Linked DNA regions of Macaca mulatta. The protein of the gene in region 1 interacts with the protein of each later gene in a biochemical or structural test. Links are inferred from orthologs where the notes say so. Each region holds a gene or a part of one and is shown on either strand. Other genes may lie near its edges.

Region 1 (3,816 bases):
AGAGATTCAGCCCCTCTGTATTGCTGAAGTTTGATACGATGAAGGACTTGACTAGGAAAATAAAGATATGTATCTTACTTTATCCATCTCACCTTCCTCCTTTTCCCCTCCCCAACTCCTGCCATTCCATCCCCAAAAGATGAGTATTTATGTCCTCCTGATAAATTATGAAAATGTTCCCCTTTGGAATGAATGTTGCATTATAACAAGCCCCAGAAGCCACAATAGCCAAAGAACAAGCTGTTCCTCCTCCCTCTTCCCTGCCCTCCTCCCTCTACAGATTTGCAGACTGGCCTCAAGTCTTACCCCTGGGTTGAGAAACAGGTTTATGTGTTTATGTAGCAAAGCTTGATTCTGCTGGTTGCCTGCACAGAAATTCTGCAAAAATTCATGAGCCAGCCTCATTATCTCTTGCATCTTGGTATCTTCGGCCTGTGTGGGAGGAGAGAGATGAAAGCACTGATTGCTGGGCCAGGAGACCAGCTTCTCCTATACCCAACACCTCCTGCTAACGTGGGAGTCAGAAGGTGTTTGCTGGGGGCCTGTTGTGGGTAAATATTGAGGGGCTGCACTGCTGACCCTGAAAAGAAGCCAAAAACTTGTCTATGCTCAATGATGAAAGTGAAGATCTTATTTGGGTGGGAGGGAGCACTGCAGAGTGAAGGCTAATAGAAGGCATCCACAAGTCCATCATCCAGCAAGGACTGAAACTTCTGAACCCCCTACTTCTAAAGACAGGGAGTGGCTGGGCACAGTGGCTCATACCTGTAATCCTACCCCTTTGGATGGATCACTAGAGGGCAGGAGTTTGAGAACAGCCTGGCCAACATAGTGAGACCCCCATCTCTAATAAAAAATAAAAATAATAAAAATTTTAAAAATAAACAAAAACAGGGACTGACAACAGAACAGGGGCTGACTTCCTCACTGATGCTGAGTAGTCATTTTCCCTCTTGGGTTCACCTTTTTAAGTTGTCCAACCTATTAGACATTAACTTTTGCTATCAGCTTACATGGCGAACTGGAAATCTCCTTAGATTATACATTAGAACAACTGTGCCTGCCATAACTCCTTTATCAAGTACAATTTTTAACCTCAGACTTAGTTTCCCCATCTGCAAAATGGGGATAATACCCTCCCTGGCATTTCACAGGTTGGATTATCTGATTCATACATTAATAGCATAAACTCAGTATTTGTAGAGTTAAATATTCTATAATAAGCCAATTCTATAAAACCCATGACCATTGTGTCCAATTCTAAACAAGCAAACATTTAAGAAAGTAAAAACAGAACAAGAATTTCTAAAATGGAAATCATCCTTCATATTTTTACAGCCCACAATAGTCTTCCTAAGTCTTCAGAGCCATCACCTCATTTCAGAGGCAAGAGAGGATAGCAGGTAGGAATGCAGGTCCCCAAACCTGACTACGTTCCTCTTATCCCAGATCTCCAACTTCCTGGCTGTATGACCTGGAGCACATTTCTTAGCCTCTCAGTGTCGCTGTTTACTCATCCATGAAAAGGAGATAACAAAAGTGCACACTTCATACGATTGCTATGAAGATTAAATGAGAAAAGTCACATGAAGTGCTTAGACAGTGATTACTCTGTAAATGTTAGCTACTGGTTCCGGGCTAGACTGAGGTCAGCAAACTTCTTCTTAAAGGGCAAGGCAGCACATACTTTGGGCTTTGTGGGTACAGAGGGAATATCAAGGACATTATATAGGTACCTATGTGACTATTTTAAAATGTAATAACCATTCTTAGCTGACATGCTGTTCAAAACAGGTGGTGGATTAGATTTGGCCCATGCCTATAGTTTGCTAACCCCTGGTCTAGAAAAATAATTCTGTGATAAAACAGAGCTAAGGGAGAAAGGTGAGCTCCCAGCTTTGATAATCAAACCAAAACAGAGGAAAATTTAAAAGGACATTAATAGCAAGTCCCAGGACAACATAATGGGGATTACATTTTTCCCTTATTAACAGGAGGAGTGGTGAACCTTCTAGCTCTAAGAAATCAGAGGGCTTGGGATAGACAGCCACTGCTGGTTGACAGCAGTAACCTTAAACAGTTCCACATGCCTCCAGTCCTCCTGTATAAAAGGAATCTGCTGTGCACAAGCTAAGTGAAGAACCTTTGTGGTGTGAAGTGGATTTTTCCAAGGTAAGCAAGCCCCAAAGACATCAAGTCACAAGAGGTTACCTGTGGAGGATTCCTCCACCATTCTTTGGAAGTCCGTGCCCATCCAAAAGTAAATAAAAGCGTGCATGTGCACACACACATATACACACACACACACACACACGATATTCTGCCTTTGAGTCACCAATTCCAACCACATCTGGTTACCTGTAGATTAATCCCGCTCTATGAAGGCATGACTCTCATTAGGGAAACTGATGATATTATGAGACAACACTATGGTCAGTAAATGATCCCCTCGCATTCCTTACACAAGAGGAGGTAGATCAGCTTGTTGGTTCTGGTCTAAATGATAGGCAAAGTTTGGATGATATGCACACCTGTATCAACTGCAAATTAGCTATGTTATTATACCTATGACAGGGATTACGCTTGGACTGTATTCGTAGCTATTGAAAGGCCTGACCTGCCCAATTCATATGGTCCCCATGACTGAGGAGGAAGTTCCTTTTGCAAGAAATTTCCTAGGGTGGAAAGCGACAGGCACAGGGAAGGCAGCAGGTCCCAGCTCCACAGTGAAGTGGAGTCAGCTTCACTGTACATAGCTGTGCCATCCATGCAAGTTACTGAACCTCTCCAGCTGCAGCTTTCTCATCGAAAATGGGGCTGAAGATAGCACCACTCATCTCATCCATGTGTCTTGAGGATGGCAAGAGCTAATAATGTGTATAAAGGCCTCCGCATAGCGCCTGGCACCCTGCAAGCACCTAGAAATGAGCCTTCATCAGGTGACTCTTCTCTAGCAAATGAGTCTCTCTAGCAGTTAATAGTCAACTCAAGAGACCTGAGTCTGAGCCCATTACCTCTAAACACCCCCCAAAGCCTCAGTCTCTTCATCTGTCAAGTGGGCACCACACAAATACCCCAGTGGGTCTTGTAGGCTTCAACAAATGACTTCATAAGCGTCTTGTCAGCCTACATTCACTCAAAGCACTGTCAGCCTGCTCCTGCCTCTGTAAATCAAATACAGATCAATGACAAATACTTATGTGAAAAATTAGAGGCAAAGTACAACTTCCAACAACAGAAAAGACCTACATCAAAGCATCACCTGATAAATCCAAATACTTAAGCAGATGTCAGCATCTTAGTGAGGACCTCAAAAGTGGGCACATCCCCTGTTCCCACATGCACTTAATAGCTGGTGTTACTTAAATTGCTTGAGTCACATTGCAAATGAAATTGAAACACACCAACCCGTGGGTAGACAGAGGTCTAAGCTCTGACACAGACCAAGATGTCTGTATCCAATGCGGCTTGGGAGTATGGAGAATAAATGGACTCTCTTTCTTTACAGAATCTTAAAACTGGGGATGAGGATTATTCACGGGTGACTGTACTTTATTTTTCAGATGCTCTGTTTCATATCAATATCTGAAATTGCTTTGTAGTCACAATAGTCACACTGGATGCATTTCTTCACCAACAATATCCAGATGTGAAGGGTTTGGGGAAACCCAGGAATCCGCCCCATCCTGGGAGCAGCTGCTGAGCGTGAGGCCCCACTCACCTTCTCATAGGGAATCTGCAGCAGCTCCAGCACCACGGCGTGTGCACCCATGTTCCGGAGCAGACGCTGCTGCTGCTTCCTGCTCTTTCTCACCG
Region 2 (3,816 bases), on another chromosome or scaffold:
TGGGAGGTGGATTAGAGCGGGGCGTGGGTGGAGGGATAGGAGGATGAAAGGGCTGGGGGTTGGAAAGTTAGAGTGTATTGATAGGTTACATGATGGATACACAATCGGAGGGCTCCACAGATGGCCACTGCTGGCTTGCTTCTCTCCCACTTTCAAGCCCCACCTACCTTCAAAGTCCACTCGTCCATCCCCATTGAGGTCCACATCTCGGATAATTTCCTCTATGTCTCGGTGTCCCACCTGATGGCCCAGGAGCTTCCTCATAGCCTCTCGCAACTCACTGGTGCTTATTTCCCCATCACCATTGGTGTCAAACTAGAGAAGGCAGGAAGGAAGGAGAGGTCGCCCCAACATGGCGATTGGCAGCATCAGGTCCCAAAGTTGAGCTCCTTCTCCAGTGTCATTTCCCCCTTTACCAGAGACCTTTCTCTGCCCAAGCTCCCTCCCCTGATCTGGGACTTGGGGCTCAGGCTTCTTTTGAAGTATTTATCCTGCAGATAAGATTCCAATAGCTGCCCCCATGCCTGCCTGCCTCTGCCCGTTACCTCTCGGAAAGCATCTCGCAGTTCCTTTACACCAATCATATCTGCTGTCTCTGCCAGGAGTTTAGGCCCCATTAGCTCCACGAAGTCATCAAAATCTACGTGGCCACCCACTGGAAAAAGAGGAAAGGGCTAGGTCATCCCCGATAATACCCATTCCCTGTCTCCAAGTAGACAACTGACAGAATGGGCAACCCCTCCTTGAACTGCTCATCAGACAGAGAAAAACTTAATAATAACAGGAGCCCTCTGTTCAGTTCTTCCTGTGAGCCAGTTACTGGGCTGTTTTACAGATATTCCCTAATCTACTTTCTGGGCTCCACTCCTCCAATTCGGCCCTCATTTTACAGGTGAGGAAACTGAGGCTCAGAGAGGGTAAGTCGTTGGCCCCAGATCACAGAGCTGGAAAGAGGTGGATGCAGAATTTGAAGCCAGTCCTGTCTGACTGCAGAGGACAGCAAGGGTGAGGACCGGAAGGGACACAGGTGCCTGGTAGAGGGACTCACGGTTCATGTTGATCTGCTGGGACAGTTCGATGAGCTCCATCTCAGTGGGCATGTAGCCCATGGTGCGCATGCAGTTGCCCAGGTCCCGGCAGTTGATGTAGCCATCCTTGTCCTTGTCGAATTCTCTGAAGGCCTCTCGGAGCTCTGGGGAAGTGAGCAAAGGTGGATGTCATTGGGGGTAGGACCTGCAGATCCTCTGTGGGCAAAGGCAGCCCAAAGGCCCACCAGCGTGGAAAGAGGGGCCCAGGAGCTTCCCAGGATGCTGGGGTATTTCTCTTGCCTTCTGTGCACACCTTCAGCAGCTGGTTTCACAGAAGATAGCCCGTTCCCAGGGGCCTCTCTTCCCATCAACCTCCCTTCCCACACCTTCATGGAGGGTTAGGCAGTCCTTTCCCCCAAGGGGCCAAGTTTTACCTTCGATTTCCTCTGGTCGCAGTGATCTATCCTGAAACAAAAGAACATGTCCTATTAGCCGCGACAAGGGACCTGGAAGTCACAAAATATCTAACCTGGGGGCCATCCAACTGGCAGCAGGCACTGGGTAGGAGGTGACGAGGATGCAGCAGAAGTGTGCCTGGATCGGATCCTTGAGGGGAAAAGAAAACCCCACATCTTGCTTAGACATGGAAGCTCCTGGACCGCTAACAAGAGATTCCCAAGGAGCCACCAGCCCCACCAGCCTGGGCACAGAACCTCTGTGCCTCCAGCCCCTTGTTCCAGATACAAGAATGGATGAGCAGGAGTTTGAGGCTGTAGTGAGCTGTGATGGTACCATGGCACTCTGTCACCCTGGGCAACAGAGTGAGACCCTGTCTCCAAAAAAAAAAAAAAAAAAAAATGAGTCAGGGAACAGAGTTGGTCTAGTGGCAAAAACCTGCAAATAAAACAGGGTCCAGGGAGGCCACAACAGGGAGAAGAGAGCACCACCCAACGAAACAGGAAGAGCAGGGCGACAGAGGCTGCAAGACAACAGATGAGGCGCCGGAGGGGAGAGAAGGCCGGGCCATCCTGAAGTGGGGGTAGGAGGACAGGGAGGAATCAGGAGGAGACGTGGCAGCAGAATGGGGCTGTGCCTGCTTCCCAGGCACTGCCCCACCTTCTCCAATTTGAGCCCCATCCCTATACGTTGCCCTGTCACAGGACACCATATAGGACCCCAGGGGCCACCAGTGCTTCTGGCTGCAGCCAGGGTCCAAAAAGCACATGTCTCCAACCTCAAGTAGTGCCCAGGTCTCCTGGGCAATCAAGGCAACCCCGAATCCAGGCGTCAGAACAGATGGCAGAGACACCTCCGAGGAGCAGGCCTGGAGGAAGCTCAGGTTGGTGAGGTGCCAGTTGTCCCAGGCCTGCCCAGGAGGGAGACAGACGGGCATGAAATGGGTACAGGTGCCCAGTTGGACCTGGTTAGTACACTCTAAAAGTGGCCTTCAGCGTCCAGCCTCCCCCGTGTTGCAGCTCTCTGCCTTTGGGCAGGGAGAACACCAGGCAGGTGTGCCCATCCTGAAGAGGCTCGCACAGCTGTGGGCATACCTCTCGTGAACACAGACATGCGGGCATGCCATAGTGAGCGTGTGGCACCTCCACTGTGCATGCAGGACGTTCCAGCCAACGGGGCCAGGGTGGGTGGAGACAGTCACTCCAAACTGGCCCCAGGACAAAAGACAACACCAGAAAATCTGCAGATCATCTAGAAAGGGAAGGGCTGCTGAGTCACATCTCATGGGACAACCAGGTGCATAGGACCAAGAGCTCAGAGGTGGCTCTGTGTGGCAGGACAGCGTTGAGAGTGTGTGTGACCTTGGAGGGAGCAGACTGCAAGCTCCCAGCTCCGCCAGGCCGGGGGTAGGAGTCACCCGAAGGGAGGCGTGTCTCTGAGATGACTGCATGGACGTTCGCCTATAAAGTTCGCCATGGGCCAGGCACGGTGGCCCACGCCTGTAATCCTAGCACTTTGGGAGGCCAAGGCAAGAGGATCACTTGAAACCAGGAGTTCGAGACCAGCCTGGGCGATATAGTGAGACCTCATCTCTACAAAAAAAAAAACACCTGTTTTAGTTAGCCAAGCATGGTGGTGCATGCCTGTTGTCCCAGCTACTCGGGAGGCTGAGGCAGGAGAATCACTTGAGCCTGGGAGGCGGAGATTGCAGTGAGCCAAGATTGTACCACTGAACTTCAGCCTGGGCCAGAGAGTCAGACTCTGTCTCAAAAACAAACAAACAAAAAAGCTGGTCATGGTGCCTGGCTCAAGGGTAGGTCGCAGTCATTCCAACACAAACCCATATGTGTTGGAAAAACCATCCAAAAAGGATGTTTTGTGCAACGGGTCATCCCAGCAGTCAGTGAAAGTGAGCGAGTAAGCACGTGTGTACACATACGTGCAGAGCACACCCCCGAGGACCCCACGCATCGGGCTTTAAGCAGCCTCCCACTTCTCCAGGGCCCAGTTCTGCAGGACTCAGGAGGAACAGGCATTGCTGACTCCATCGCAGCCCCTTCCGTTCCTCCTGTACACCCAGAGCCCAGGGGGCAGCAAAGCTGGGTGCCCCTTCACGGGCTGTGCCCGCCACCAGAGCTGGTCTGCTGAGCACTGACGGCTGGTCCTCGGATCACACTCCCCGGGCACAGCAGTAGCAATGTGTGTTCTCTGCCCTGGAGTAGAGCCAGGGATGCCCACTAATGTGCCAGGAAGATCACGTGCAGCAACTCAGGGTCAGGTGGGAATGCGGTGCAGGAACATGCATTTCTCCCCAATTCATGTGGTTGGGGAG

Evidence for each region.
Region 2: the proteins of ITPR1 (region 1) and CABP1 form a complex in vitro, tested with the Homo sapiens proteins (2 studies listed by BioGRID). The link is inferred for Macaca mulatta from reciprocal best matches to the Homo sapiens genes ITPR1 and CABP1.

The regions. Positions count from the first base shown.
Region 1 is NC_133407.1:143,427,866-143,431,681, reverse strand, and holds part of ITPR1 (inositol 1,4,5-trisphosphate-gated calcium channel ITPR1), read right to left. Parts: coding exon 3,722-3,816; intron 433-3,721; coding exon 307-432; intron 1-306. UniProt on the Homo sapiens protein: Inositol 1,4,5-trisphosphate-gated calcium channel that, upon inositol 1,4,5-trisphosphate binding, mediates calcium release from the endoplasmic reticulum (ER).
Region 2 is NC_133416.1:127,981,972-127,985,787, reverse strand, and holds part of CABP1 (calcium-binding protein 1), read right to left. Parts: intron 1,494-3,816; coding exon 1,463-1,493; intron 1,193-1,462; coding exon 1,049-1,192; intron 656-1,048; coding exon 546-655; intron 316-545; coding exon 168-315; intron 1-167. UniProt on the Homo sapiens protein: Modulates calcium-dependent activity of inositol 1,4,5-triphosphate receptors (ITPRs). Inhibits agonist-induced intracellular calcium signaling.